7 linked regions of the Oryctolagus cuniculus genome follow. The main gene of each other region encodes a partner of the protein of the gene in region 2 in a complex. Links are inferred from orthologs where the notes say so. Each region holds a gene or a part of one and is shown on either strand. Other genes may lie near its edges.

What was found.
Region 1: MED7 (region 2) and MED13L share a complex: the UniProt entries of both Homo sapiens proteins name them as parts of the mediator complex. The link is inferred for Oryctolagus cuniculus from reciprocal best matches to the Homo sapiens genes MED7 and MED13L.
Region 3: MED7 (region 2) and MED8 share a complex: the UniProt entries of both Homo sapiens proteins name them as parts of the mediator complex. The link is inferred for Oryctolagus cuniculus from reciprocal best matches to the Homo sapiens genes MED7 and MED8.
Region 4: MED7 (region 2) and MED20 share a complex: the UniProt entries of both Homo sapiens proteins name them as parts of the mediator complex. The link is inferred for Oryctolagus cuniculus from reciprocal best matches to the Homo sapiens genes MED7 and MED20.
Region 5: the proteins of MED7 (region 2) and MED21 are in contact, whole or in part, in a cryo-EM structure (PDB 7EMF), measured with the Homo sapiens proteins. The link is inferred for Oryctolagus cuniculus from reciprocal best matches to the Homo sapiens genes MED7 and MED21. Residues at the interface, in NP_001094286.1 of Homo sapiens: Phe72, Asp73, His74, Lys75, Leu78, Arg79, Asn82, Ile85, Leu86, Phe89, Leu92, Leu93, Leu96, Phe116, Val119, His120, Ile123, Asn124, Tyr126, Arg127, His129, Gln130, Arg132, Glu133, Leu135, Arg136, Met139, Glu140, Gln142, Lys143; in NP_004255.2 of Homo sapiens: Asp3, Leu5, Thr6, Leu8, Gln9, Val12, Asn13, Leu15, Ala16, Phe19, Ile23, Ile62, Ala66, Ile69, Asp70, Ile73, Asp74, Leu76, Pro77, Ser78, Glu79, Ser81, Ala83, Gln86, Ser89, Leu90, Leu93, Glu96, Asn97, His98.
Region 6: MED7 (region 2) and MED16 share a complex: the UniProt entries of both Homo sapiens proteins name them as parts of the mediator complex. The link is inferred for Oryctolagus cuniculus from reciprocal best matches to the Homo sapiens genes MED7 and MED16.
Region 7: MED7 (region 2) and MED25 share a complex: the UniProt entries of both Homo sapiens proteins name them as parts of the mediator complex. The link is inferred for Oryctolagus cuniculus from reciprocal best matches to the Homo sapiens genes MED7 and MED25.

Annotation. Positions count from the first base shown.
Region 1 is NC_091452.1:12,510,081-12,513,889, forward strand, and holds part of MED13L (mediator of RNA polymerase II transcription subunit 13-like), read right to left. Parts: intron 1,574-3,809; coding exon 845-1,573; intron 65-844; coding exon 1-64. UniProt on the Homo sapiens protein: Component of the Mediator complex, a coactivator involved in the regulated transcription of nearly all RNA polymerase II-dependent genes.
Region 2 is NC_091437.1:44,110,320-44,114,614, forward strand, and holds the start of MED7 (mediator of RNA polymerase II transcription subunit 7), read right to left. Parts: upstream 3,011-4,295; coding exon 2,309-3,010; 3' UTR 2,304-2,308; intron 1-2,303. UniProt on the Homo sapiens protein: Component of the Mediator complex, a coactivator involved in the regulated transcription of nearly all RNA polymerase II-dependent genes.
Region 3 is NC_091438.1:129,634,497-129,638,775, reverse strand, and holds the start of MED8 (mediator of RNA polymerase II transcription subunit 8), read right to left. Parts: upstream 2,828-4,279; 5' UTR 2,720-2,827; coding exon 2,714-2,719; intron 1,465-2,713; exon of another isoform or gene 1,446-1,464; coding exon 1,327-1,445; intron 1-1,326. Other genes in the region: KICSTOR complex protein SZT2, read left to right, coding at 2,913-2,939. UniProt on the Homo sapiens protein: Component of the Mediator complex, a coactivator involved in the regulated transcription of nearly all RNA polymerase II-dependent genes.
Region 4 is NC_091436.1:127,988,309-127,992,835, reverse strand, and holds the start of MED20 (mediator of RNA polymerase II transcription subunit 20), read right to left. Parts: upstream 2,979-4,527; 5' UTR 2,839-2,978; coding exon 2,825-2,838; intron 440-2,824; coding exon 285-439; intron 1-284. Other genes in the region: BYSL (bystin), read left to right, coding at 3,361-3,628. UniProt on the Homo sapiens protein: Component of the Mediator complex, a coactivator involved in the regulated transcription of nearly all RNA polymerase II-dependent genes.
Region 5 is NC_091440.1:124,258,750-124,262,081, forward strand, and holds the end of MED21 (mediator of RNA polymerase II transcription subunit 21), read left to right. Parts: intron 1-742; coding exon 743-843; intron 844-1,839; coding exon 1,840-2,016; 3' UTR 2,017-2,675; downstream 2,676-3,332. UniProt on the Homo sapiens protein: Component of the Mediator complex, a coactivator involved in the regulated transcription of nearly all RNA polymerase II-dependent genes.
Region 6 is NC_091447.1:58,472,319-58,476,127, forward strand, and holds part of MED16 (mediator of RNA polymerase II transcription subunit 16), read right to left. Parts: coding exon 3,765-3,809; intron 2,980-3,764; coding exon 2,548-2,979; intron 2,147-2,547; coding exon 2,041-2,146; intron 1,099-2,040; coding exon 943-1,098; intron 185-942; coding exon 1-184. UniProt on the Homo sapiens protein: Component of the Mediator complex, a coactivator involved in the regulated transcription of nearly all RNA polymerase II-dependent genes.
Region 7 is NC_091449.1:7,728,504-7,732,312, forward strand, and holds part of MED25 (mediator of RNA polymerase II transcription subunit 25), read right to left. Parts: coding exon 3,712-3,809; intron 2,890-3,711; coding exon 2,727-2,889; intron 2,618-2,726; coding exon 2,490-2,617; intron 2,323-2,489; coding exon 2,235-2,322; intron 2,149-2,234; coding exon 1,955-2,148; intron 1,619-1,954; coding exon 1,490-1,618; intron 913-1,489; coding exon 827-912; intron 747-826; coding exon 689-746; intron 607-688; coding exon 499-606; intron 1-498. UniProt on the Homo sapiens protein: Component of the Mediator complex, a coactivator involved in the regulated transcription of nearly all RNA polymerase II-dependent genes.

The sequences.
Region 1 (3,809 bases), on a different chromosome or scaffold from region 2:
CGGCTGCGTCTGGGGCTGCTTGTCTTGCCAGATTTTAAACCGTTTGTTAGGTTGTGCTAGAAGTCTAAAAGGGAAAATAAGTGACAATTTGAATAAGGCAAAATGATATTTCAAAAGAACAGCAACATTTATGATTTAAAGCACTTATAAAACTGAAACTAAACTTTAACACTCACTTATGGAGGGATTTTCTTTTATAGATTAAATTTGTGAATAAGCAAAACTGAACAGGCTTTTGTCAAGAATACGTGATTTTGCATCTTATTTCAATGATTCCCCTTGAAAGCACAGGTTCTCAGTACAGACTGTCTAGGTTCATCTGCATCACTTAATAGCTGCATGACTCCAGTTTCTGAGGCATGAAACTAACATAATAACGTAGCTGTGGTGAAGACTAAATAAACTGCTATGTGTAGAGTAATGGGTGGCTCAAAGGCAGTATAAATATTAAGTTGTTATTACTAGACTCACAACATACCACCCGAATGCTCACATAGCCTTCCTCATGGTGTTGGCATACAAGCGAGTCACTGACTGCAAAGTGGAAAGTTTCCTAAAGCTATATTCTTTGACTAATAGAAGGCCAAAAGTACACTTACACTAAGCATATCAAAACAGCACAATGAGACCTTTATATGCCAGAGTGTTTAAATAATGACATGTATGTTAAACCTCATCACAAACAAGGCATCTGATTTCTACATGCGGAATCTGGAATGAGGAAGAAAGCTGTTTTCATTCTGGGTCTGAAGGTGTGGCAAGCAAGATCAGGAGGAGAGGCCTCACTCCTGGGAGTCTGTGCCTTGCAATGAGAACAGGCAGGTGCGGCAGGCAGTTGCCTTACCTTTGCAATGCAGTACTCTCTGAGTTCACCTCCATTTTGGCATCACATCTCTCACCCTGGAGCTCTGGAGGCCTGAACTCAGCATCATCACTGGATGGGAGACGAAAACTTTGCCACCACTTATCTGATGACTCTGGGTTCGAGGGCCTAATCCCACAATATAAGGCTGTCTCGCTGACCTCTGCCATCAGAGGCAGTCTTTGGCCTACGAGGACAGTTCTGTCATCCAGAGAAGACAACTGCTGGAGTTCTAGCCCATTTCCATAGAGGGCTGGGTTCACAGGAACAGATGGCGGGTCCAAACTCTCCGTTTCCTGACCTCGTGGCTGAGGGCTGAGTGTTGGCGGCAGCGGGGAAATAGGGGAATGAGGTGAATCCATAGGATTCAGATTCATTTGCTTGCTTGTATTTCTGGAAGGCACGGCCATTTGCTTATCATACTTCCTACTGCTGGATACCTCTAAGGAGGAGTCTATCCCTGCCAACCCTAGCTTCTGTCCTGCTGTATCTTGCTCCATGCATAACTCTTCAGCCACGGAGGGCCTATGGTGAAATGGTATCAAGGGTCTCTTTTGCAACTTGTCTCCTTTTTCCTGTCTTTCTGTTGTTTTGTGCTTAGAAGAAGCAGGAGGTGCTAAAGACGAAGATGATGATGGTCCTGCACTGAACCCTGGTTGAGATATTGTGGGAGGTCGAGTGGGTCCTGTTGCACGTTTCAAAAGTTTATGCCTGAAATGAGAGTTAAAACCAAGAAACAAATATGAATATGACTAGATAGCATCGCCATAACATCACAAAAAAGGGCCTCTAAGATTTACTCCACAGCTAAAAGCATGGACTAAAAACCACAATCCACGCTGGTGGAAAGTAAAGGATCAATCAAAGACAAGGTGAAAGAGGGGAGACATGGACTTAGCAAGAAACATAAATGAATGCATTTCTAACCCCTATAAAATTACTAATTTGGAAAAAAAAAAACTCACATCTTTAAATTTGGAAAGGGCCTTAGCTAAGGCATTCATAATGCATCTCCAAACCATGAGAGCAGAATCATGAGATCACCTTTCATTTCAGGAAAAACAAAGTTTCCAATTTCTATTTTATAATACTCTAGTAACTCAAATATAGAATGGTTTATAATGGCTTGTTGTAAACTGGAAATAAAATAACTATGTATGTAACTCTCCCCTATGATGATGAGGGTCAAGTCCAAGAACATTTAATAACATAAATGTACTAGAAAACCTTGTATGTCACTATATCCAGGGAAGAACAAAAGACAGCTTTGGATCTTACAGACACACATTAAACCGAGAGAAAAGGAAACAGGCTGTGAGCTAACATCACACACACACGCACCTGGACCCTCTAAGCAGGAGCACCAAGTCTGCTCAGATGCTAACATACTTCTTGGCAAGCACAGGTGTGAGAAATGGCTCAGTAAGGGCCCACTAGATGATGCCAAGGTTTAATCTGTGCAACCAAGTTATACAGCAGGTCAGCCAGTGTCTCCCAATGTATAAATCATTCCCAGGGAAAAATGGAAGCTCTCCTGCAGCGTAGCAGTAACTCTCTGAGGCCACTAGGCATTAAATTACTACCACATTGCACTAAATGGTGCCCTAGCGGGCAATAAAAGGGATTTGTATGGCATAATGGGATGGTTTATTGGGACAGCGGGATGGCCGCTCTACTCCATGAGGCCGCTGAATAGTGTGAGAAGTGGACCACTCCCTAATGGGTCTAGTAATCCTGCTGCAGATCATCTGAAAACACTCCTGCTAAAGTCTTCATTATTCTGAAATAATAAAACAAAACTTCGACATTCAAGAAAGTTGTCAAAGCACAACGCTATCGACAATACAGCTAACGGTGTGCTTTAAGCCCCAAGGGCACAGCACCACAGAAACATGTGGACGTTTCCTTGGAAAATCTCCCAATCATATCTTCTAAGGGTGCTCATTTGAAAATCCAGACTCCAGAAATCTTTTACATAAAACTTTCTGATTTGGATTTGCTCAAAGACCAATTTAATATGGTAGACTCTTCAAAGTAAAGACTTTCTGCAAAGTGGATAATCTTACCAACCAAGTCAGATGTTTCACTGATATTTAATGACAGCTATATAGCCAAATGGTTACAGCAGAAATGTGGCTGATTACTGAGCAGGAGAGAACCTGTTGGGAGTAGACAGCAGGAAGAAACCAGAGCAAGGCCAAACACTGCAAAAAACACATGGTAGGAAAAAGAGGAGGGAGGCTGGACGAGAATAGGTATTTCAGAGGAAGTCAACATAAGATACAACGACAGGTTAGATCTAAAGAACGAGCAAAAATCAACATATGATGGTTTCTAGGCTGAGAAGAAAAATTGTAGTAGGACTACAATAATGTACTTGGTTTGCAGGGAAAAAAAAACATGTCAGTATGAAGGCTATTTTTTAAGGATAGCCCCTAAAATATAAGACTACAGCATATGTGAGAAGTCAGGTGTAGAGCTAAAATCTGAAAGTCAACAGAATGATGACCTGGTACACAAATACCTATTTAAAACACACACACACACACACACACACACACACACCAGCCTTGAGGGCCGCAGACGTTATGGTGGAGGGAGTCAAGCCATTACATGGGATCACTGGTTCAAATCTTAGTTACACCAACTTCTGATTCAGCTTCCTGCTAATGTGCTGGGGAGGCAGCAGATGATGACCCAAGTACTTGGATTCATGCAAACTGTGTGGGAGACCCAGATGGAGTTTCTGGTTCCCGGGTTGACCTGGCCTACCCTCAGGGCATTTGCAGAGTGAACCAGTGTATGGAAGATTCTCTCTGCCTATCAAATAAATAAATCTTAAAAAACAAAAACAAACAAAAACACAGGGACTTGCAGATCTGTCATTTGGTCATATCAGGATGCCTGGGTTCAAGTTTTGACTTCACTTCCGATTCCAGGTTCATAC
Region 2 (4,295 bases):
GGGTTATCTTTCTCTGCTTTCCCAGGCGCATTTGCAGGGAACTGGATTGCAAGCAGAGCAGCTGCACTTGAACTGGTATTTGTATGGGATGCCAGTGTTACAGGCGGCAGCTTAACCCACTCTACAACACTGGCCCTGGCAAATCAATCTTTCAGGAATATTCAGCATAAACAGACATCCAGAGATGTGTTTTAATCCTCACAAGAGTAAAAGTCCATGTATGGTAAGCTTTTAAAATTGCAGCAACTATCAGAACATTAACGTTTCATTCCACTATAATATCAAGAGTTACATCAGGTGCAACTGCACAGAACTCCTTGATTAGCTCTGGGCTAAAGTGAAGCTAACCTATGGCATTGCAATCCATCAATACCTCTCCCCTCAATGCGCACACACACACACACACACACACACAAATTTACAAGTAACTGTTGTGACTCTTAACAATGTTAAATGATTTCATTTCTTACATGCAAGGATTTTCAAAGTGGTCCCAAATTGGTTTTGTACCTCAGCCCAACACTCCTCTCACAGCAATGTATTTTTTAAAAAGTCAAAAGAGAAACGGTTGTTGAGTTGTTCAAGAGCCATTTCCATCTTGCTCACTGACCAAGGTATGAGGGAGGAGGTGTGGAACAAATTTAATTTAATTAAGGGAAACCAGAATGTCCTTTGGGGGTCTCTGGTCCCAAGGTCTACACCAAGCATATTCCAGTTGGTAAAAAAAAAAAAAAAAAAAAAAAAACCTTAAATTTGAGACTTGTTAATTAGTTCTTGTCTGCTAGAAGTGTTAATTGGAAACAGCCTCTGTCTGAATGCAAAGAATGCATATTTCACACAGGGAAATTGGCCTGTAACCATTTTACAGTGAGTTGGTGAGACCTTAATGCAGCAAATCCCTATGCTAGTAAACAGGAAATGAGGGAGAAATCAAAAGCACATCACCCAGGAAAAGGCCCATCTCTACAGATGGTAATCTTGAGCATGCATCAGAATTGGAGGAAGGCTTAACACCAAGCTTGCCACGCCCTGTGCACCAGCAAGTTTCTGGTTCAGAAGGTCCAGGGTGGAGCCAGAGGAGCTTGATTTCTAACAAATCCCCAAGTGATGCTAATGCTGCTGGTCCAAAAGGACAATGGAGAACCACTGGCTTCTGTCAGAGAGTAGCAGGCAAAGATCCTGATATGAGGCCAATGGGCGGGAGGGGGAAGGAGGGAGGAGAAAAGAAAGTACAGAAATAAAATCTCAGTACCCAAGACAGTTTATTTCTTGTTCACATTAAGTTAGCTGTAGAAGGAAGAATGGAGTTAAAAGAGGACCTAATCTTCACATTCTAGAACCAAATTACTATAAACTGTTGTCACCAGGCTTGCATGGGTGTGGGCACACACCTAGCCGACTGGGGAACAGAATGGAAGATCGTGCAAGAAATCTTAGGGCACAGACTCCATTTCCCAGAACTTAGTCACATGGCCTCACACAGATATAGGGCAGTAGGGAAATGTGGTCACTGGCTGAACAGTGATATCTCAGCAAGAAGAAGCGCGAATCACTGGTGGACATCGAGCAGTTGCTCCCACCAAACCCTTCTCCCACTGCAGTCTACCAGCCTTGATCATGTCTGAGCTTAGCTTTAAAAATGTGTAATTTCAAAGAATTACAAATATTTTTAAAAATCTGTAATTTCAATCCTCTTAATTACTAAAATCTGTAATCTAAAATTTCTAACTAAGCTGACCAAAGACTTTCTACCCAAGTGACTGAGAAAAACCAATTTATGGGACCTACCAAGGTTCAAGATAAGGAAAAAGAGTCTACTGAGGTAGTAGAGTTACAAGAATCACAAGGAAAAATAAAGTTTTTGTTTCATAACAAATGGGTCTCTTTTAAAATGCTATACTACCTTATGCAGATTAGGTAAATTTTTAAATATTACATAATTTCACATTTTAGAGTATCTATCCCTCATTCTTAAAGCAAATGACAAATTTACTTTTTAAGGATGAAAGTTTGCTATTACCAAGGACACTGTCAAACTTTTACTCCAACTCCAAAAAAAAGAATGCCCCACACATCTGCAGCAAACATTTTCTTTTTCAGGTCACTATTCTTAATTTACGGGTCCCTGTTTGCCTACACTTGTTATATACTGAAATTGCTGCCTATGGCATTACGTAAGTGAAAAAGCTGGAGAGTCAAGAAAAAGGCCATTTAAACTTTTAGTTATTCATTTTAAGACTGCCCAAAAGAAAATAAACCAGTAATATTATACTATTTACCAAAAGGGAAAAAAGAAAACTAACATGAGTCACGGTCTTTCATTCATTTCATCAATTAGGACACACAAGGCAGCATCTTTTTCTATAATCTGGTCCCTTCGATGACCTGAATTTTCTCTTTGCTGCTCACTCTGTCCAGTACAATTGTTGCTATCATCAGCATCCATTGGTTCAGTTTTTACTTTTATTCCTGCTTCTGAGTGGGGTAAATCATCAGGCAAAGAGGCCAAGCAATTCTGAATCATCTCAATCACTCGCTCCAGATGCTTCTGAAACCTCTCGGCTGTTTCAAGCCTCTGTCGTTTCTGGACTTCCATCATAACTCTCAAGGTCTCTCTTGCTTGGTGGGGTCTGTATTCATTTATGAGATGATGCACATGGACAAAAAGCAGCTTAAGATCTTCCAGCTTCTCTTCTCGTTTTATACTCCCAGGGCTCCTTATCAAGATATCTAAAAGGTCCAAGAAATTAATAAGGATAGACATATTGAGTTTCCTCAGTTCTTTCTTGTGATCAAATTGCATAGGATGAAGCCTTTCGATGCCCTGACTTTCCAAAGGGCGGATAATAAGATCATCACATTGGAACTGGTTGCCAAACATCATATAACTGTCTTTGATTGGAGGGGGTGGCTTGGGAGCTAGACCTTCCTGAATATTTTCATCAGTGTATTCCTTGATGTACTGCATAGGAGGTGGAGGAAGTGCACTCACTTGCTGTGGCTCACCCATTGTGGAAGATCAAGCACCTACAAAAACAAACCAAAGATTCACAGAAGAACTACAAAACAAACCTGTCACATTTAGTGTTTACAGACAGAGCACTCCCCTTTTCTTCCGGTAGTTTCAAAGCTAACACTTACAACTCAGAATGGATGCCACCCTTTTCTAATTAAGCACTATATTCTCAACAACCCACATTATTTTTCCTTCCCTGTTAATACTTCTCTCCCAATATCTTGGAGTACCTTTTCATTTATAAAGAAAAGTCTTCTGGATTCTACACCACTTACCTTTTATGTCCCATTTCTCCACATCTCTTTATAGCAAAACTACACATGCTGTCGCCCAAACACATATCACAATCACTTTTTTTTTTAGAAGGTAGATGATTTTAAGATTTACTTTATTGATTTGAAAGGCAGAGTTACAGAGAGAGAAGGAGAAACAGAGATATCTTCCATCTGCCTTTTCATTCCCCAAATAGCTGCTAAGGACTGGGGCTGGGCCGGGGCCATGTAGAATCCAGGAACTTCATCCGGATCTCCTTTGTGAGTGATATGGGTCCAGGCACTTGGGCCATCTTCCACTGCCTTCTCAGGCATATGAGAGGAAGCCAGATAAAATTGGAACAACCAGGACTTAAACCAGTGCCCATATGGGATACTGGTGTTGCAGGGAGCCATTTAACCTGCTGCGCCACAATGCCAGCCCCTACAATCACTTTTACTATTACGAAGTGATTTCCCAAAGTAAATACTTATAACTCAAACATTTTGACAAAATTAACATTACTAAAATCTAGATACCCAGTATCATCCAAGGCTCCTAGATGAAATGATTATCCAAGTCTGTATCTTTTTTCTACATTTTATGCTACAATTTACTAACCTTTCTGTATCTACTATAGAAACTTGAAACCCAAATTCAAACCCACAGCTTCTATGGCCACAATCACTTCTACTTACTCCTTTTTAAACATAGGTATTATCATCCAATCTGAAGATTCTCAAGTGCTCTTTTAAACCGATCTGAACAGTTTTAAGACACACCCCTCCGACGTCAGGAGGCGGCAAGTACCCGTGTGCCTCTGCGGATGCGCACCCCTCGACTTCAGCTGGCATCTTTCCAGGGTCAACTCCCTAAGAGGCATCACTGTCTCACATCCTCTCCACATCATCTTCCTGCCAAAGCTATGACCTAAGTACACGATCAATTCTATTCTTCGGATGAGGATCCCAAGTCTTAAGGGCACGTGTCTGCAGATCGCATAACTACTAACGGCACAACAGCAATT
Region 3 (4,279 bases), on a different chromosome or scaffold from region 2:
GGGGTGTCTCCCAGTGAGATAACCTTTGACAAGTCCTCAGATTAGGAAAACTGAGACTGACCCCCAAAAGACTCATCCCCATCACGAGCCTCGGCAGGACCCAGACCTGGAACAGGAATGCGGGGTTAGGAAAGAGGGACACGCTTTCAGCTCCTGACGGAGGCAGAAAAAGGCAGTTCATTGTTTGAATGGGGTGAGAAACACTGGAAAACAGGAACCATGGCTATTCTATGACAAAAAAAATCAGAAACTGGGTGAAAGCCTCCTTTCTGCCGGGAAACAGGAGCCATACTTCAGCAGTAGGCTGGATCTAAAAGACAGCCACATTAGTGGCAAGAGATCCAGCATGGACTGAGATATAGTGGGAAGACCCACTGAGAGAGAACTCCTGACCAGAGATGAAAAGGGTAAGAATCAAAAGCGGCCAGCGCCACGGCTCACTAGGCTAATCCTCCACCTAGCGGTGCTGGCACACCGGGTTCTATCCCGGTCGGGGCACCGGATTCTGTCCCGGTTGCCCCTCTTCCAGGCTAACTCTCTGCTGTGGCCAGGGAGTGCAGTGGAGGATGGCCCAAGTGCTTGGGCCCTGCACCCCATGGGAGACCAGGAGAAGCAGCTGGCTCCTGCCATCGGATCAGCGTGGTGCGCCGGCCGCAGCGCACCAGCCGTGGCAGCCACTGGAGGGTGAACCAACGGCAAAAGGAAGACCTTTCTCTCTGTCTCTCTCTCTCACTATCCACTCTGCCTGTCAAAAAAAAAAAAAAAAAAAGAATCAAAAGCTAGAAAGAACGTGGCTGGGCCGGTGCCTTGGCTCACTTGGTTAATCCTCCACCTGCGGTGCCAGCATCCCATATGGGCACCAGGTTCTAGTCCCGGTTGCTCCTCTTCCGGTCCAGCTCTCTGCTGTGGCCCAGGAGGGCAGTGGAGGATGGCCCAAGTGCTTGGGCCCCTGCACCCGCAAGGGAGACCAGGAGAAGCACCTGGCTCCTAGCTTCGGATCAGCGCAGCGCCGGCTGTAGTGGCTGTTTGGGGAGTGAAGCAACGGAAGGAAGACCTTTCTGTCTCTCTCTGTCTATATCTCTACCTTTCAAATAAATAAAAATAAAATTAAAAAAAAAAAAGAAAGAAAGAAAGAACGTGGCTTGGGAAACTGGGCCGCTCTCTACTTCCTTGCCACGGAGGCCCTCAGCCAAACTTCACTTACTAAATGTTGGGAAACCAAGCTCTTTCCAAATTACCCGACATCTGCAAACTGATAAATGGTTACATCATCAGAGATGAACTACTCGTCAGGAGCCCTCCCCAGTTTGCCCTGGCAACCCTTACCAGGTTAGCCTGTCATACTCGTTCTCCAGCTTGTAAATGAAACTTCCCAGTGAGTTCTTCAGATCAGCCACTTGACTCAGCAGTGCATCTAATGACGCCTCCAACTGCTTCTCCTCCCTCTGCACCAACAGAGATGGGCTGGTTACCCAGAGAGATATGAGCATGACACCTTTAGAAGAAGGCTGAAAAGCGTCGGAGAGAGTATGCCAACCGCAGTTGGCTAACACCGGATCTCACTGGAATGACAGCCAGGTTATTTTCTATCTTTGGTATTTGGGTTACAGACAGCACCAACCCTTAGACCTTTCACCTGACCTTAAGTCCTCCTACCAACTGATTCTCGCTCTCACACCTCCAAATCCAGGCCTGCTTTTCCTCTGTATTGCACGTGCCCTACTCTCCCTTGTTGAGAAACTCCTGCCAGACATAATGCCTGGGATTCATCATCCTATGCACATTTCTGTGGCACGTGTGCCCTAGCTTCCTTCGTCCTAGAATCTGCCCTGTTCTTGTCAACAGCACAGCCCCTGCGAAATCTGCCTGGACATGAAGCTTTCTCTGAACCCTAGTTCTGCACGCCCCTGCCCCTCGCTCCTCATTCGTGCTTAGTGGGTGATGTTTCAACTTTCTCCTTTATTTCTGTGCCAATATTCCTGTGCCTCTTTCACAAGCTCAGCTGACCCAGAAGGACTTACTGAAACACTGCCCCATCCAAGAAGCAAAGCGACAAGTGAAAAGCAAAACCACCCACCCAGCTCACATGACAAGCAATGTCAAGTAGTGGGGGTCTGCAGGCATTCCCTTCCCACGGTGTGGGGGGGTATCTTCCGTTTTACTTCATTTCCTCCGTCTTAATAACTCTCAGGCACAGACTGGGAAAAATGATGCCAACCCCACACTGCGCCTGACAGGAGCATCATCTTGGGTTTCACCCAAGGTTTCAGTTGATAACAACTTAGCTTCTGGCCAGCTCGGCCCACAATTCCTTCACCCTTCGGGCTTCTCTCCGATTGCAGATTCGCCGTTACGTCTGCATCCAACAGCCTAGGCTGAGGCTTGAGCCAATTCATGTCTCTCTCGGGCCGTCTCCCTTGGATTGTATCTCGGCTTTCGCAAACTACATCCTGATGCTTTCCCAGCCCCAAACAAGCGGCGGCTGCCTCCGCCCTCCCGACTTTGCTAGTCTCTCCCCTGTCAGCGGACTCCGCCCCCACGTAGCATCCGCGCCGCTTCTCCACTTGGCCTCGTCTCCCCTCTGCCCTGGCCCCGCGTCCTCTTGCCTCCGCCCTCTCCTCTTCGGTCCAACTCCTAACTCTCCGCAGCCAGCCCACTCTCGCTGCGTTACCCAAAGACAGCTAGCTGCCACTAGGCCCACCCCGCTTCTCACCTGCATTGCGGCAGCCGTGGCAGCCGCAACCACTTCCTCTTCCGGTTTCCCAGTTTCTGAGGGTTTTGTCCACCAATCAAGGAAATCGGGGCTTGGCCCGCCCACCGACTTCCGGTTCCGGCCCGGTACTGAGGTAGCCAGGTCAGGGGTCACAGTGGATCTGCCTCACTGGCCCGGGCCGGCGCGGGAAGGCTGTGTGATGGCCTCGGAGCGCCCGGAGCCTGAGGTGAGGGGCGGGCGGGCGCAGAGCTGGGCCCTGAGACCCGAGCGGGAGGAGCGGGCGGTGCGGGCAGGCGCGACCTCGGCCTCCTGGCCGGCCGACGGCCGGGCCGCGTAGCGTCGGCAGGGACCCTTGCAGCCCCGCATCCCCGCAGTCCGTTCTTTCCTCCGGAGGCTGGAGGAGAAATGCTTCGCTCGCTCTGTTGTGCTTACTGAAATCTCTTCCGCGTCGCCGACTTGACCTAGTGACAGTGGTGTTAATAAACCCTGTGATTTGGTTCCTGTCGCGGTTTCAGTGCGCTGGACGGCAGCAGCCGGTGCGTGTCTTCAGACACGGGCGTGCAGTAAACAGCACGAGTTAATTTAGTTTTAGCACTCATGATGGGGAAAGCAGCTTTGGTTTTATTGGGGGGGGGGGGGGGCTTGGCTCGGAGTGAGACCCAGTTCGGATTTTAGCGCTGCTATTTAGCTCTCTCTGAAGCCTGGGGCAAGTCTTAACTTCCTGGATTCTGTTTCTTTGTTGTTAGTCTGTTGTGAGAATCACGTGTGTGAAGCCAGAAAAGGCTTAAGCTCTCTCTGTCAGATGCCAAGGACCATGCAAGCAACTTTACATACATTGTGTCATTCACGTTTGCACAATATCCATTCTCATTTTCAGAAAAGAAAACTGAAAAGTAAGATAGGTCAAGTGCTGTACATACGCCTGAGAGTAGCAGATTTTTGGAGTTAGAAAATCTGAGCATAAAATCCCAGATTTGGGTAGAGATGCCCAGCACTGTTGGAGAACATACCAACAGATGGGAACAGTGAGGAATGTGTGTAAGAATGCAAATAGGCCGGCGCCGCGGCTCACTAGGCGAGTCCTCCGCCTGCGGCGCTTGCACTCCAGGTTCTAGTCCCAGTTGGGGCGCTGGATTCTGTCCCGGTTGCTCCTCTTCCAGTCCAGCTCTCTGCTGTGGCTCGGGAAGGCAGTGGAGGATGGCCCAAGTGCTTGGGCCCTGCACCCGCCTGGGAGACCAGGAGAAAGCACCTGGCTCCTGGCTTCCGATTGGTGCAGCGCCGGCCGTAGCAGGCATTTGGGGGGTGAACCAACGGAAGGAAGACCTTTCTCTGTGTCTCTCTCACTGTCTAATTCTGCCTGTCAAAAAAAAAAAAAAATACAAATAGTATACCTTACCTGCATGCCGGCCGCCATTGTAAGCGGTTTACCAATGGCAGCTCATCCTCTCCACCCTTTTCAGTTAAGGAGACTGAGGCTCAGAGATGTTATGAGTAGCAAAGCTACACAGTATTAAATATTAGAGCTGGATTCCAAAATAGGTGGTCTGGCACTGCGGTTTTTTGTTT
Region 4 (4,527 bases), on a different chromosome or scaffold from region 2:
ACTCTTCACATGCATGTCCAAACTCATTAAGATTATGCACTGAATATATACAATTAAATATATACAATTCTTTGTCTATCACTTATACCTCAAAGCTTAAAAAAAGTTCTAAAGGCAGAAAAACAAAAATATCCCCGGTCTAAGAAATAAAAGACCAAGAATGAATAAATTTACAAAGACATCTTGCCATGTGTTCTGGAATACACAAAAGCATAAGGAACTCTCATTAATGCCCGTGAATTCCAAGGCACATTCCAGCCGTCCTACATACCCATCTCACTGACCTTGGCTTCCAAGGGTAGAGGCAGCCGTGTGATAAGTCTCACAATCCACACAAAACGTTCCTTGCTTCTCTGCCCCAAGCATCTCCAATTTTCGGGTGAGGAGCTCCACGGTCTGCTGGACACTCTTGCCCTCGGCCACAGGCATCTGGGACACACTGGGAAGGAGAGAACCACAGTGTCAGTACCCAGACACACACATACTCACTTAGCCATTCTATCCACAGAACTGTGGCTCAGCCAAGCCAGAAGCTACGACCCCACCCCTCCCTCACGTTGTAAAGATGCGGAAATAGAAGCCGCCAGCCAGCCAGCGCCGCGGCTCACTAGGCTAATCCTCCACCTAGTGGCACCGGCACACTGGGTTCTAGTCCCAGTCGGGGAGCTGGATTCTGTCCCGGTTGCCCCTCTTCCAGGCCAGCTCTCTGCTGTGGCCAGGGAGTGCAGTGGAGGATGGCCCAAGTGCTTGGGCCCTGCACCCGCATGGGAGACCAGGAGAAGCACCTGGCTCCTGCCATCGGATCAGCGCGGTGCGCCGGCTGCCGGCTGCGGCGGCCATTGGAGGGTGAACCAACAGCAAAGGAAGACCTTTCCCTCTCTCTGTCTCTCTCTCTCACTGTCCACTCTGGCTGTCAAAAAAGAAAAAGAAAGATTTTGGTGCCAAAACATTGCATAGTTTTTCATAATACATACTTTCTGTGAACTTTCTGAAGTACTTTCAGAGAATCCCTGAAGCTACAAGGGACAGAGGTCCTAGGATTTTGGAAAAGTTGATAAGGGCGCCCCCAGGAATGGCCGGCAACAAAGCCAGGAACTTCATCAGGTCTCCCACGTGGGTGCAGGGGCCCAAGGTCTTGGGCCATCTTCTACTGCTTTCCCAGGCCATTACAGAGAGCTGGATTGGAAGTGGAGCAGCCAGGACTTGAACCAGTGCCCATAAGGGATGCCGGCACTGCAGGCAGTAACTTAATCTGCTACACACAGTCCCAACCCCTGTGCTGCAACTTTTCCACCTCCATCCCGCACCAGCACCCTCACTCTGCAGGGCTTGGGAGGGTTGTGGTAGGGGAAACAAGAGTGCAAGCCCCAGAAACCCCTGGCTACTGGGAGAAATTGTGTTCCCTCTACCCCCAACTATTTTTAAAAGAGAAGCCTAGGGGGCCAGTGCTGTGGTGCAGTAGGTTAATCCTCCATTTGTGGTGCCGGTATCCCATATGGGTGCCGGTTCGAGTCTTGGCTCCTCCTCTTCCAATCCAGCTCTCTGCTATGGCCTGGGAAAGCAACAGAAGATGGCCCAAGCGCTTCGGATTGGCGCAGCTCCAGCCATTGGGGCCATCTGGGGAGTGAACGAGCAGATGGAAGACCTTTCTGTCTCTCCCTCTCACTGTCTGTAACTCTACCTCTCAAATCTTTCAAAAAAGAGAAAAAAAAGAGAAGCCTATAACTCCTGGCTTCAGATATCCTGGCCTCCAGGCCTCTCTGATGAGATGCTCACAACCAAGACTTAAAAAAAAAAAAAAAAAGAAGAAGAAGAAAAAAGGTGCAGAGACCCAGCACCTTGGAACTAAGGTCTCCAAGATCCCTGGGTTCATACCCTTCCCCTCCACCCCATCCTCTTCCATCTGGGTTTGAGAACATGTTCAGAGATTTAAAAGTCCATTGGGGGCCAGTGCTGTGGCGTGGAGGGTAAAGCAGCTGCTTGTAGAGCTGGCATCCCATGTGGGTGCCGATTTGAGAGCCGGCTGCTCCACTTCCGATCCAGCTCTCTGTCATGGCCTGGGAAAGCAGTAGAAGATGGCCCAGGTGCTTGGGCCCCTGCACCCCCATGGGAGACCTGGAAGAAGCTACAGGCTCCTGATCGGCCCAGCTCCGGCTATTGCAGCCATTTGGGGAGAGAACCAGCAGATGGAAGCTCTCTCTCTGCCCCTGCCTTTCTTTAACTCTGCCTTTCAAATAAATAAATCTTTTTTTTTTTTAAGTGCACTGAAACTGAATCAACCGTATAAACGTAGTAGGAGGCAGGTCATGAGGAAGTAAAGTGTCTGGAAACCTGATCTTCTAATTCCCAGTAGTTTCCATTTTGATCCTGTAGACCCGAATGAGAACCAGATACAGGCTGATTATTGGGTGGCTACAGGTAGGGGGAGGCGAACACACAAACACCGCCTCGTTGCCTATCTCCTATCAGCTTTAACCCTACCTGCGGGTGGGTTCTAGTCTGAAAAGCCCTGTTTCCGACCTCGAAGTCCCACTTTCTGCACTACTAGGATTTCAAGGGTAGCAAGACGTACCAAGAAAAAGAGAAGAGGGTACACAACCCATGCATAAGGTTCCTGAGATAAAACCTTTTCCTTGCTTCCTTCCAGGAGCAATGGGGCCCATTAGGGCCCGAGACTCACGGCCCTTAGAGTGCCCACATCCACGCAGCCCGAGGGCATTTTGCTCAGCTCCCGGAGAACGGCGGACTTCAGTCCCCGACCCTCCAGGTTTCAAGGGACCTTCACGACCCAAGTCCCGCCCCATAAAACCCTTTGTGATCCTACCAGGTCACTCCCATAGCGTCAGGCCTGGAAAGCGGCACGACCACACAGCCGAAACAGCGCTCTCCCGAAGCCCACAAGAACTAAAAACTACCGCAGGCTCGGGTCGCGGGAGGGGCTCCGGAAGTACGTAAAAACAGAGCGCCGGTTAGACGCACCAGCAGCGACTCTGGGTGACGCCTCCAGTGAGGTCATCGGCCCGATTCCCAGCCCCTCCCCTGGCTTGCAGTTCCGGAAGTTTCCGTTTGGTTGGCCACCCTGGTCCTAGATCCAGAAAGCTAGGAAAGCGTGGCCCGGGCTGCCACCATTTAGAGACGTCAACGTCAAAGGCAATGCATTTGTTCCGGGCTCCGGCTCCAGGACTCGGGAGTTCCCTGCGGGAGTGCAGTGGTGCTGGCTGCTTTTCTGGCCTCCGAACGCGTAGGGGCGCTGTGAGCGCGTGGCCTCTCGGCACAGACCTGGGCGTTCATTGCCGAGCGCACATCCTGGGCTGTCGCCGTACCCACGTGTGAGTTTGCCGGGCCGCATTATCGAGAAAAATGCCGAAATTCAAAGCGGCCCGTGGGGCTGGGGCTCAGGAAAAACACGCGCCCCTGGCCGAGCAGATCCTGGCTGGGAACGCGGTGCGGTCAAGTGCCCGGGAAAAGCGGCGGGGCCGCGGAACCGGGGAAGAGGAGGAAGAGTATGTGGGGCCCCGGCTGAGCCGGCGGATTTTGCAGCAAGCACGGCAGCAACAGGAGGAGCTGGAAACCGAGCACGGCTCTGGGGACGGGCCCGCCAAGCCTCGGGAGCGCGCCACGCGGCTGGGTGAGCGTCCGCGGGGAAGGCAGTAGTTGGGTTGGGGGGTGGACGGCCCACAGGTGTCCGGCAGGGGAGTACCTTGGATTCAAAACCGGGTTGCACGTTGCTCTCTACCGAGAGCAGGGCAGGTGGAAGACCGAACCCTGCAGGCCCGCTCCCTGTTTTTAGTGCTCCTTTCGCCGCGTCCCGCAAGTTAGGCCAATAGGAAGTGATGGCTCAGGCCACCAAGTTCTCCTAGCATTTGTCCAACGGTTTTGTAAATATGGGATGCTCGCTACCGGCTTTGCACGATGCTGGGAGTTTTGATGGATTGCGTGCAGAAATAAACAAGATATAGCTCGGGACCTTACAGTCTAAACCAAGAGAGAGACAATTAGAACAGTAAATTCCATGGGAAAGAAAGTCTCGTTTCTCTGGAAACGATAGCATTCGTGTAGGGGTCAGAGTTGCCCAGCCTGGAAGCTGAGACCTGAAACCGAATGTTCATAACAGAAAAAGCAGTATTGTTTAGGGGCCAAGTGGAGGGAGAGATGATTGAAAAATGTTGACTGTTTTCTCATAGGGGAGAAGCCTTGACCTCTGAGTTGTTTAACCGACTTCTCAGAGCTTATCTTATTTGTAGAAAAGCAGTATTTGACGCAATTGAACCCTGCTCTTCTGGCTACAGTATCTTTATCTGAAAGGCAGAGAGAGAAAACTTGCTTCCCCTAATCTACTTCCCAAACGCCTGCTGCCTGCTACGGCCAGGGCTGGGCCAGACCAAACCTGGAACTCAGTGTAGTTCTTCCGGGTGGGTTGCAGGGACACAATGACTTGAGCTCCCTCCTGTTGTCTCTCAGGGTCTATATTAGTGGGAAGCCTGAATCTGCAGTGGAACCAGGACTCGAACCCTGGCATTCAGTTAT
Region 5 (3,332 bases), on a different chromosome or scaffold from region 2:
ACTACTGGACGTTTTGTATGTCATACCAGAAATTATTTATTGTAGTTAACTTGCATAATACCATAATTCTTCTTGTGTCATACCAGATTGGTGCCCTTGGAGAGAATTAGGAATTTGGCTGAACTTTACTGACGGACCCTGATAATTAGGGCATCCCATGTACAGATTCATTGATTCTAGTGTCTTCCATATTATCCTAATACATGAAGTGAACATGCCTTAGGCTTAATTCTCTGAGCCTGTATTAAGTTAAATATGTAACAGAACTGGTGCCTTGAAATTGATTTTTTTCTTTTAAATATTTCTATTTGAAAGGCAGAGTGATAGAGAGTGAGGGAGAGACAGAGAGCATGAGAGATACCTTCCATCTACTGGTTCATTCCCCACAGGGACATAAAGGCCGGGACTGAGCCAGGAACTCCATCCAGGTCTCACACATGGGTGGTAGGGGTCCAAGTACTTGGGCCATCTTCTGCTGCTATCCCAGGGACATTAGCAGCGAGCAGGATCAGAAGCAGAGGAGCCAGGACTTGAACCAGCACTGGGACATGGGTTGCCAGCATTACGATTAGTGGCTCAACCCAGTGCATCACTACACTGACTCATTAAAATAACACTTTGATCATTGGAATTCTAATATTAAAAAGTTAGGTGAAGTTTCCTGGTTTCATTAACTTGAATCTAATTTTCTGTTTGTGTAAACCCGAGATTTTCTCATACTAATTGAGTAGTCTTTCTGCAGAGTATGCCCAGCTTTTTGCAGCACTTATTGCACGAACAGCAAAAGATATTGATGTTTTGATAGATTCTTTACCCAGTGAAGAATCCACAGCTGCGTTACAGGTAACAACCTTTTTTCTTAGAGAATTTTACTGGTAGCAGAGAATTTTGAATTGAAGGAGATAGATTTATTGACTTTCATTGTAATATTCAGAACTATTTTATGATTATTTTTAAGGATTTACTCTTGGATTTACTTGAAAGACAAAGTCAGAGAGGGAGCCGGAGACAGAGATACCTTCCATTCACTGGTTCACTCCCCAAATGGCCACCACAGTCTGGCCTGGGTCAGGCTGAAGCCAAGAGCCTGGAATTCCATCTGGGTCTCCCATGTGGGTGACAGGAGCCCAAGCAGTCATGTGGGATGCTGGCATTGCAGGAGGTGGCTTAACCAACTGCATCTCACAACACTGTCCCCATACTTTCCATACTCTAGTTCACTTCCGAAATGATCACAGCTGGACCAGGCTGGAGCCAGGAGCTTCTTCCGGGTCTCCCATGTAGGTGCAAGGGTCCAAGGACTTGGGCCATCCTTTGCTGCCTTCCTAGGCACATTAGCAGGGAGCTGGATCTGAAGTAGAGCAGCCAGAACTTGAACAGGCGCCCTTATGGGATGCTGGTGTGGCAGATGATGGTTTACCGTGCTGCGCCATGATGTCAGCCTCTAAGATGGGCGTTTCACTAATTCAGTGCTAGTATTGTCTGTTGAAGATTGTGCTGAATAGCTGTACAGTAGTTGTCCAATTTTGAGTTAGAAGGAAACCTTGTATGTTCTGGTTTATCTTTTTCTAGCAAAGAAGGAAAGGATGGTGGCTTTCTGAACGAGGAATAAAATAATGGATAGCAAAGGCAGTTTGGAACAGAGTCATACTAGATAGTAAGATCTCTTGAAAATCCATTACTTTATAATCATATGGAGGAACTTAAGTTACCTCACTTTGAGAATTTCTCCTATTAAAACTGTATCACTGGTTGCAAAATCACCGAGATTTAAAAATAAATACCTCTACTGCAGTCTCTTCTCCACTCTAAAAGATTGTCAAATTTATGTCTTAAAAGGCTGCTAGCTTATATAAGCTAGAAGAGGAGAACCACGAAGCTGCCACCTGTCTGGAGGATGTTGTGTACCGAGGGGACATGCTTCTGGAAAAGATCCAAAGTGCACTCGCTGACATTGCACAGTCCCAGCTGAAGACGAGGAGCGGCACCCACAGCCAGACCCTGCCGGACTCATAGCACCGGCACGTGCCGGCGGCTAAGAACTGTCTCAAGGCCATTAAGAATTCTACCTTGGATTAAATGTCAGCCTTACCAGCAGTTACAGAAACGTTAAACGTTATGACATGTTTTACCTTTGTAGCTGTTTTTAAAATCTTCTATTTTTACTCTTGATAAACAAGCATATAAAGTTGTGATTGAACCAGCTTTAAACTATCAGTTTTTTTTTAATCTGAGATTACTAAGGCAGATACTGCATTTGTGATCAAAATACAAATAAACATGCACTGTTCTTTGGTGACAAAGTTTGTATGTTGTTTAAAACTCAAATTTCTGTAATAGTCCTGGGGCCAGCACTGTGGGTGGCAGGAAAAGCCACCGCTTGCAGTGCTGGCATCCCATATGGGCACTGTTAAGAATCTGGGATGCTCCTCTTCCGATCCAGCTCTCTGCAATGGCCTAGGAAAGCAGTGGAAGATGGCCCAAGTCCTTGGGCCCCTGCATCTGCATAGGAGACCCAGAAGGAGCTCCTGGCACCAAGCTTTGGATCCACCCAGCTCTGGCCATTGCAACCATTTGGGGAGTGAACCAGTGGATGGAATACCTCTCTCTGTCTCTCCTTTCTCTCTGCCTCTCTGTAACTCTTTCAAATAAATAATCTTAAAAAAAAAAAAAAATCGGTAGTCCTTTCATAAATGAAAACAACCCTGAAGCCAGAAGAGACATTCTCAGTGCAGAGATGGATCTTTCAGTGGGCTGGTATCTTTGCCACTATGGAGGTGGCATTGTATAAATTTGGAGCTTTGAGAAAGGAAGTTTCTGAAAATTTGTCAGTTCTCAGAAACCCAAAGTGTTAGTGTGGCCGGGTGAGAGTAGGTCACACTGAGGCAAACCTTTGCTCTTGCAGAACCTCATGTCCCTTTGAATTCACCTCCACGTTTGCTTTGACTGAGAAAGCCTTGACTCAATGAAATTCCCAGGCTGCTGTGAGTTTTCTTCATCCTGATTGGCTTGTTCTCTTTATCTACAGGCCTGTATTCTGCTCTCATTACCCCCCCCCCCCCCCCCGCTGTATTTTAAGAGGGCCATCCTCCCATAGCAGTTATTTCAGAGTTGTTTTCTCCATCGCTCCTCAGTGTGTCAGCATGTCAGCTACAGTGACTGATGCAGCTCTGGGGTCTCCTGCAGTCCACGGCTTCTGCCCAGAAATCTGAAGTTGAAATATCTTCCACACTGTCCTGCCTCTGTCTCAGAATCTCTAGGACTTCACTTGAATCCGTTGCTATCCAGAGCTGGCTCTGCCAGAGAACCCTCAAGATGGTAGTCTGCTGCAG
Region 6 (3,809 bases), on a different chromosome or scaffold from region 2:
GCCAAGGACGTCCAGGAGAGCTGCATGGCCTTGAAGTGGACGGCGGGGCCCGTGGTGCGCGGGCGCTTGATGGCCGGCTCGTCCACGGAGCGCGGGGCCGCGGAGCTGTAGAAGACGGCCATGGTCTGCAGGGACAGCCGGTGCACGATGTGGACGCTGCCGTCCTGGAAGGCCAGGGCCAGCCCTGGGCGGGTGGGCGGGCAGGTCAGGGTGTGGCCGTGGCTGCCCGCGGCCTCCGGCCCCTGTTCCCACAGGGACGGAGCCGCCAGGACCTGGGGCTCCCGGCAGGGGTGCCTCGGCCTTCCAGGAGCCAGACACAAAGGGCCTGGGGTGGAAGGGGGTGGGGGCTGTCCCTCCCCTCGCCGCAGGCCGTGAGGCGGGGGCAGGGCCTGGGCTGGGCAGCTGTGCAAACTGAGGCTTGGTGTGGAGACCTGGGGAGCTCAGGGCCGGCATCCAAACGTCAACACAAGCCAAGAGCCCGGCTCGGACCCCTGCCCCGCCCCAGGACACGCTGACCCCCCCCAGCCCCAGGACACACTGACCCCTGCCCAGCCCCAGTGCATGGACCCCCCCTGCCCCGCCCCAGGACACGCTGACCACCCCCGCCCAGCCCCAGGGCATGGACCCCCCCCTGCCCAGCCCCAGGACACGCTGACCCCCCAGCCCCAGGACACGCTGATCCCGCCCCGCCCAGCCCCAGGACACGCTGACCCCCCAGCCCCAGGACACGCTGACCGTCCCCTGCCCCGCCCCAGGACACGCTGACCCCCCCCAGCCCCAGGACACGCTGACCCCCCCCGCCCAGCCCCAGGGCATGGACCCCCCCCGCCCAGCCCCAGGACACGCTGACCCCCCCAGGACACACTGACCCCTGCCCAGCCCCAGGACACGCTGACCCCCCCACCCCAGGACACGCTGACCCCCCCCCCCCGTCACGCCTACCGAGGCCGGGGTAGAACTGCGTGTCGCTGGCCACCTTGAGGTCGGTGTTGGTGAGCGAGACGGGCAGCTTGGGCAGCGCCACGGCCGACACCCGGTCCAGGTCGTTGGTGGCCGACAGGATGCGCCACTTGAGGATCATGGGCTGCTTGTCCACAACTGGAGGAGGAGGAGGAGGTGGCCGCTGAGCCCCGCCCCGCCCACCCCAGGGGACAGCTGCCCCCGCGGGCCGACAGGACGCGTCCAACACGGCGGAGCCCCGGAGGCCGGCCCCTGACCAAGGCTCTGACCCCGTGCCTGCCCGAGCCAGGCTGCACTGTGGCAGGTGCCCGGGGTGGACGCCGCGGCGAGGAGGGTGGACAGCAGGGGCCACATCTCGGGTCTGACGGGGCCCCAGGCTCCCTGACTCAAGCCCCCAGGGCCCTGCTGCGGGAGCGTGGGGACCCAGCCTGGTCGAGGGGAGGGGGACGGGGCTCTGGGCGGGGCCGCGGTCACAGGGACAGGGCTGGACAGAGCCAGCGTCCCGGCCTCCCAGGGGCCCACAGCTGCGCGAGGACGAGGGCTGAAGAAACGGCGGGCGCAGGCCCCGCGAGCGTCACGCCCTGCCTGTGCGCCCAGCACTGGGGGGCGGCTGCCGGGGAGCCCAGGGCCCTGGGGCAGCCTCCAGGCCAGCTGGGGTGTCCACTGCGGGAAAAACACCTGTGTCCTTGGGGGGTCTCTGTGTGGGGAGAGCAGGCTGTGTGGGGGGGGGAGCAGGCTGTGTGTGGGGGGAAGCAGGTTGTGGGGGGGAGCAGGAGCAGGCTGTGTGTTGGGGGAAGGCCACCACCTGCCCCCTCCCAGACCCCAGACCCGGTGCCCGATGCCCCCCAGACCCGGTGCCCGATGCCCCCCAGGCCGCTGCCCGCCGCCCACCTAGACCCGGTGCCCGATGCTCCCCCCCCCGCCCACCTGCGCCCAGACCCCAGACCCGGCGCCCGATGTTGCCCAGGCTGCCGCCCGCCGCCTGCCCCCGCCCAGACCCCCGACCCGGTGCGGTGCCCAGTGCCCGGCGCCCGAGCCTGCCCGCGGGGCTGGCATGAGCGGCCGCCCCAGCGCCCTCACCGGCGGGGGAGATCTGCTGGAAGACGTTGTTCACGGGCAGCCCCTCCTTCCGCAGGGACCAGCACTCCACCAGGCTGCTGGTCTGGCTGGACGCGCACAGGAGCACCTGCGGGGGGGGGGGGCAGAGCGCGCTGGGGGCGGGGCCCTGGGCGAGCGCGCGTGGGCGGGGCCCTGGGCGAGCGCGCGCGCGGGGGGCGGGGCCCTGGGCGAGCGCTCGCGGGCGGGGGGGGGGCAGAGCGCGCTGGGGGCGGGGCCCTGGGCGAGCGCGCGGGGGGGGGCAGAGCGCGCTGGGGGCGGGGCCCTGGGCGAGCGCGCGGGCGGGGGGGGCGCAGAGCGCGCTGGGGGCGGGGCCCTGGGCGAGCTCGCGTGGGCGGGGGCGGGGCCCTGGGCGCGCGCGGGGGGGGGGGGCGCAGAGCAAGCTGGGGGCGGGGCCCTGGGCGAGCGCGTGGGCGGGGGCGGGGCCTCCCGACGCCCATCGCCGCGGGCGCCGGAGCCCGGGCGGCGCACCTGCTCGGACATGTCGCGGGCCAGGAACTTGAGGTGGGTGATGGCCGGGAAGCTGTCCTTGCGGCTGAGCGCCGTGGTGCAGCGCATGAAGAGCGAGGGCAGGATCTCCGTGTCGATGCGGCACTTCTCGCTGACCACGCCCACGCACACCTTGTAGAACTGCACGGGGGACGCGCTGCTGCCGTCGGCCGCCGCCACCACGATGTTGCCGCCGCCCGTGAAGGCGATGTCGGCCAGGGCCACGCGGCCGCGCAGGCGGCACAGGCTCTCGGTGGACGTGAGCACCTGCCCGCTGGGCTTGAGCAGGGACACGGTGACCAGGCCGCTGACCGTCACGGCGATCCAGCCCTCCATGGGCTTGCCGCCGAACAGCGTGAGCGACGGCGAGAACTTGACGCGGGAGAACTTCTCGCCGAAGCTGGAGGCGCCCGACTGCGGGAGAGGCGGAGGGGCCGGGCTGCCGTGCGCGCCGCACCGGGACCACCGGAGCCCCGCCCCCGCCCCACCGGAGCCCTGCCCGCGGACCACCGGAGCCCCGCCCCTGCCCGCACACCCGGACCACCGGAGCCCCGCCCCCGCCCCACCGGAGCCCCGCCCGCGGACCACCGGAGCCCTGCCCCTGCCCGAGCACCCGGACCACCGGAGCCCCGCCCCTGCCCGCGCACCCAGACCACCGGAGCCCCGCCCTCGCTGACCCCGCCTTGCCTGTGCGGGAGCCCGGGACACGCCTACCGCGGAAGCCCACGGACAGGGCTGAGGGGGGACACGCGTGTGCCGGACAGGGCTGAGGGGGGACACGCGTGCACCGGACAGGGCTGAGGGGGGACACGCGTGTGCCTCTCAGGCCCAGCCACATCGTGGGGGGCTGCTGCCGCTCCAGTGCCACATCAGGCCTTCAGATTAACATCACGCCCACGCCCGGAGAGACGCGGGAGCCCCGGCCCCTCCCCCAGACCCCCGGCTGCCCCGGCCCCTCCCCCAGGCCCCTCCCCCAGACCCCCGGCTGCACCCGACCCCAGTCGCTGAGCCGCCTGCAGCCTGTGCTGGACTCCACCCGTGGCCGTGGGCGCCGGCTCACACCACGTGGCCGTCCACCCGTGGCAGGCGCAGCACAGCCCCTGAGTGGCAGGGAATTCTGGGATACCAGTGGCTCAGCGTGAGGGCCGGGTCCTGGGGACGGCGGCCTGGGTGCTGGGGCGGGCGCGGGCAGCACCCACCTTCTCCACGTGCAGGGCCAGCTTCACGCCGTTGTGCAGCCAGGA
Region 7 (3,809 bases), on a different chromosome or scaffold from region 2:
AGGTGGCCGTGCAGACAAGCGGCCAGGACAAGGCAGGCGCCTCCCCGGGCCCCGGTGGCTGAGCCCGGGCGGGCGACCCATCTCGCAGGGCTCCTGAGGGGGCCGACCACGGCCACCCCAGCTCACTCCTGCGCCTCGGTGCCCTGCCCTGAGGCAGGCCCTGCGAGCTGACTGCCTGCCCCTGTCCCTTCCCCACTGTGTGCAGCCGCCACTGCTGCCTGGGTAAGCGTCGCATCCCGGCCGCGGGCAGGCTGGGTGATGTTCCTCCCCAGTCTCCCAGGCAACCAGGCTCCGCCCAGGGCAGGCTCCGCCCAGGGCAGGCGAGCCCAGCCGGGGGCACAGGGCTGCCGTCACTCTGCCCTAGCCTGCCTTTGTGGAAGCACACAGGACCCCCGGCATACGGCCTGGGGTACACCTGCAACTTGGACAGCGCCCCAGGAAAGGCCACCCCGGGAGCCCTGTGGGGGCAGCACTTCCTGCAGGCCGGGGAGCACTCACGAAGCCGTTGCCCATGATGCGGTAGAGCCCCTTCAGGGACTCCAGGTCCTTGTTGGTGAAGTGGAACTGCACCATCCTCGAGTTCCGGAACAGCGGGCCCAGCGTGGTCTGCGGGAGACACGGAAGCCCCGTGGGGCACGAGGAAGGCGCGGGGCGGGGCGGGGCGGGGGATAGGGGTCCCGCCTCTCACCAGCAGCTGCTGGGGGATGAGCTGCATGATCAGCTTCTGAGGCCACTGCTCGGTCTTCCTGGGGGGAGGACACAAGTGTCAGGAGAGGCGGGGCCCAGCAGAGCCCCGCCCCTGCCCCGCCACGCCCCCAGCACCTACAGGTTCTCCCCATGATTCACGTAGACCTGGCAGGGCAGGGACCGCGTCAGCTTCGTGTTGGCGTCCACGGAGGCGGGTTTGGGTTTCTCGGGAGGAAGAGTGTGTCAGTGAGTGGGCCCCAGGCCTCGGCCCGGCCCCTGCTGGGCAGCCCCAAAGGTCTGGGTGTGCTGGAGCCCCGGCCCTGCGCCAGGCCTCCCGTCCCACATTCCTCTGGCCTGCCAATGCCTCAAATGCTGGGCCTCCTCCAGGCCCTCCCCACAGTCCATGGCCCCCCAGACACCACCACGCCGGGCCTGTCTGCACCCCACGTCCCTTCCACACTGGGCCTGTCTGCACCCCACGTCCCCGCCACACCGGGCCCATCTACACCCCATGTCCCCACCACGCCAGGCCCGTCTACACCCCATATCCCTGCCACACTGGGCCTTTCTACACCCCACGTCCCCACCACGCCGGGCCCGTCTGCACCCCATGTCCCCGCCACACTGGGCCTGTCTGCACCCCATGTCCCCACCATACCAGGCCCGTCTACACCCCACGTCCTAGAGTTCTGGGATCTTCCCTCGCACTTCTGAACACTCGCTCATCCTGAACCCACAGCCCCAAGCCCCGTGTCCTCAGGCCTCGCCCCTGGACAGCACCCCCGCCCCGGCGGCCACTCACCTCCTGCCACTCGAGGACCCCGCTCCAGGCCAGGAGCTTGTTGGAGACCGACTGCTGCCCGCCGAGGGCCGGGGTCCCCAGCTGGGCCGGGGAGGGGCCGCTCACCCCGCCAGGGGCCACTGTGCCGGCCTGCGGAGGGGAAGCAGGGGAGGGCGCGGGCTCAGACCACCTCCTGCAGGAGGCCGGCCGGTCAGGAAGACCGGGACCAGATTCCTCCTCTCACCCCACGCCCAGGACAGCGCTTGGCCGCTCCTGGGGACAGCACCGCGCCCGGCCCCACTGCATCCGAGGACGCCACGCCCCACGGCGCTGGGCCGGGCAGCCCCAGGCTGCAGAGCAGCTGTGACCGTCGAGCCACAAGCCTCCCGCCCCCCTGGGTGCTTCTAGGAGGGCCAATCACTCGTCCCCTACACTGCATGGCTCCGGCAGCCAGGAGGGAGCGGGATGGGGGCACCAGGCACCTACCATGGACGGTGCCCCGGGCTGGGCAGAGGGCGCCAGGCCCGCGCCAGGGGCCACAGTGGAGACCAGGCTAGGCTGGGAAGCAGGCGGTGGCTTGGGGGCACCAGGGGGTCCTGGAGGGAGTGGGGGCGCAGCGGCCTGGCTGAAGGGGGCACCCACTCCCGAGGCAGCTTGCTGGAGAGGGTTGATGGGCGAGACTGCAGGAGAGAGCGAGGGCGTGGTGGGCGCAGGGCCGCGCTGAGGCCTGCCCGCAGCCCACGTCCATGGCGGCCCCAGGACTCACAGCGGGGGCCCAGGCCAGCCTTCTGGTTCTTGGCGGCCTCCACGGCGTTCTGGGCGGCGACCTGAGCTGCACTCAGGTTCCCAGGGACCTGGGGGCAGAGGGGAGCGGCTGGTGGGGGCTGTGAACGCCATGGGGCGCACCCCCACAGCCCCACGAGGCAGACGCCAGCCTCTTAACACCCCGGGGCAGCGGCCACCACCCCCAGCCCCGATGTCGGAGGACGCCCTCCCTGAGGCCCAGGAGTGACACCCGTACCTGGTACTGCGGCGGCACGGGCGGCAGAGGCTGCTGGGGGGCTGCGAGTGCGGCACCCGAGGACGGAGCAGGAGGCAGCGGGACCGGCTGTTTTGGCTGCAGGGGGCCTGGCGCCGAGCCACCCCCAACTGGGAGCCAACAGGAGGGGTTCAGGATGGAGAGGACCAAATCCAAACCCAGGTCAGAGAGAGGCGGCAGCAGAGAGCCCAGCCCCCACCCCGCGGGCACCGGGCTCACCAGGCAGCACGAGGCCCCGCACCAGCACCATGTGCCTCGGGTCCTGGCTCACGTCGGCCGGCGGCTGCAGCGGCTCCAGCAAGGACGGGGGCGCCGCCTTCTCAAACAGAAGCCGCAGCGCAGGCAGCTTGCGGGGGGACACGACGGAGAAGTGGATTCCCTGCTGTGGGGGGACAGGACGGGAAGTGGGTGCCCTGCTGTGGGGGACAGGACGGGAAGTGGGTGCCCTGCTGTGGGGGACAGGATGGGAAGTGGGTGCCCTGCTGTGGGGGGACAAGATGGGAAGTGGGTGCCCTGCTGTGGGGGGACAGGACGGGAAATGGGTGCCCTGCTGTGGGGGGGGGACAGGACGGGAAGTGGGTGCCCTGCTGTGGGGGACATGATGGGAAGTGGGTGCCCTGCTGTAGGGGGACAAGATGGGAAGTGGGTGCCCTGCTGTGGGGGACACAACGGGAAGTGAGTGCCCTGCTGCGGGGGGACACGATGGGAAGTGGGTGCCCTGCTGCGGGGGGGGGACACAACGGGAAGTGGGGGCCCTGCTGGGGGGGACAGGACGGGAAGTGGGGGCTCTGCTGTGGGGGGGGACACGACGGGAAGTGGGGGTCCTACTGCGGGGGGACAGGAAGTGGGTGCCCTGCTGTGGGGGGACACGACGGGAAGTGGGGGCCCTGCTGTGGGGACAGGATGGGAAGTGGGTGCCCTGCTGTGGGGGGACAGGACGGGAAGTGGGTGCCCTGCTGCAGGGGGGGACAGGATGGGAAGTGGGGGCCCTGCTGGGGGGGGACAGGACGGGAAGTGGGGGCCCTGCTGTGGGGGGGATACGACAGGAAGTGGGTGCCCTGATGTAGGGCAGAGCAGAGCAGAGCAGGGGGGACGCGGGGCCAGCCCCGGGTGCCCACACCTGACAGGCCTTAACCACAGTTCTCACTGGCCGAGGCAGGGACGGCAGACTCGGGGAGCTGCCCAGGGCACTCTGGGTCCTCACCTCCCCAATCTTCTGCACCAGGCTGTCGGTCGTGCAGCCCGAGTACGTGGTGCTCTCCACGGCGGGCAGCAGGTACGGGGGGGAGTTGCAGATCAGCA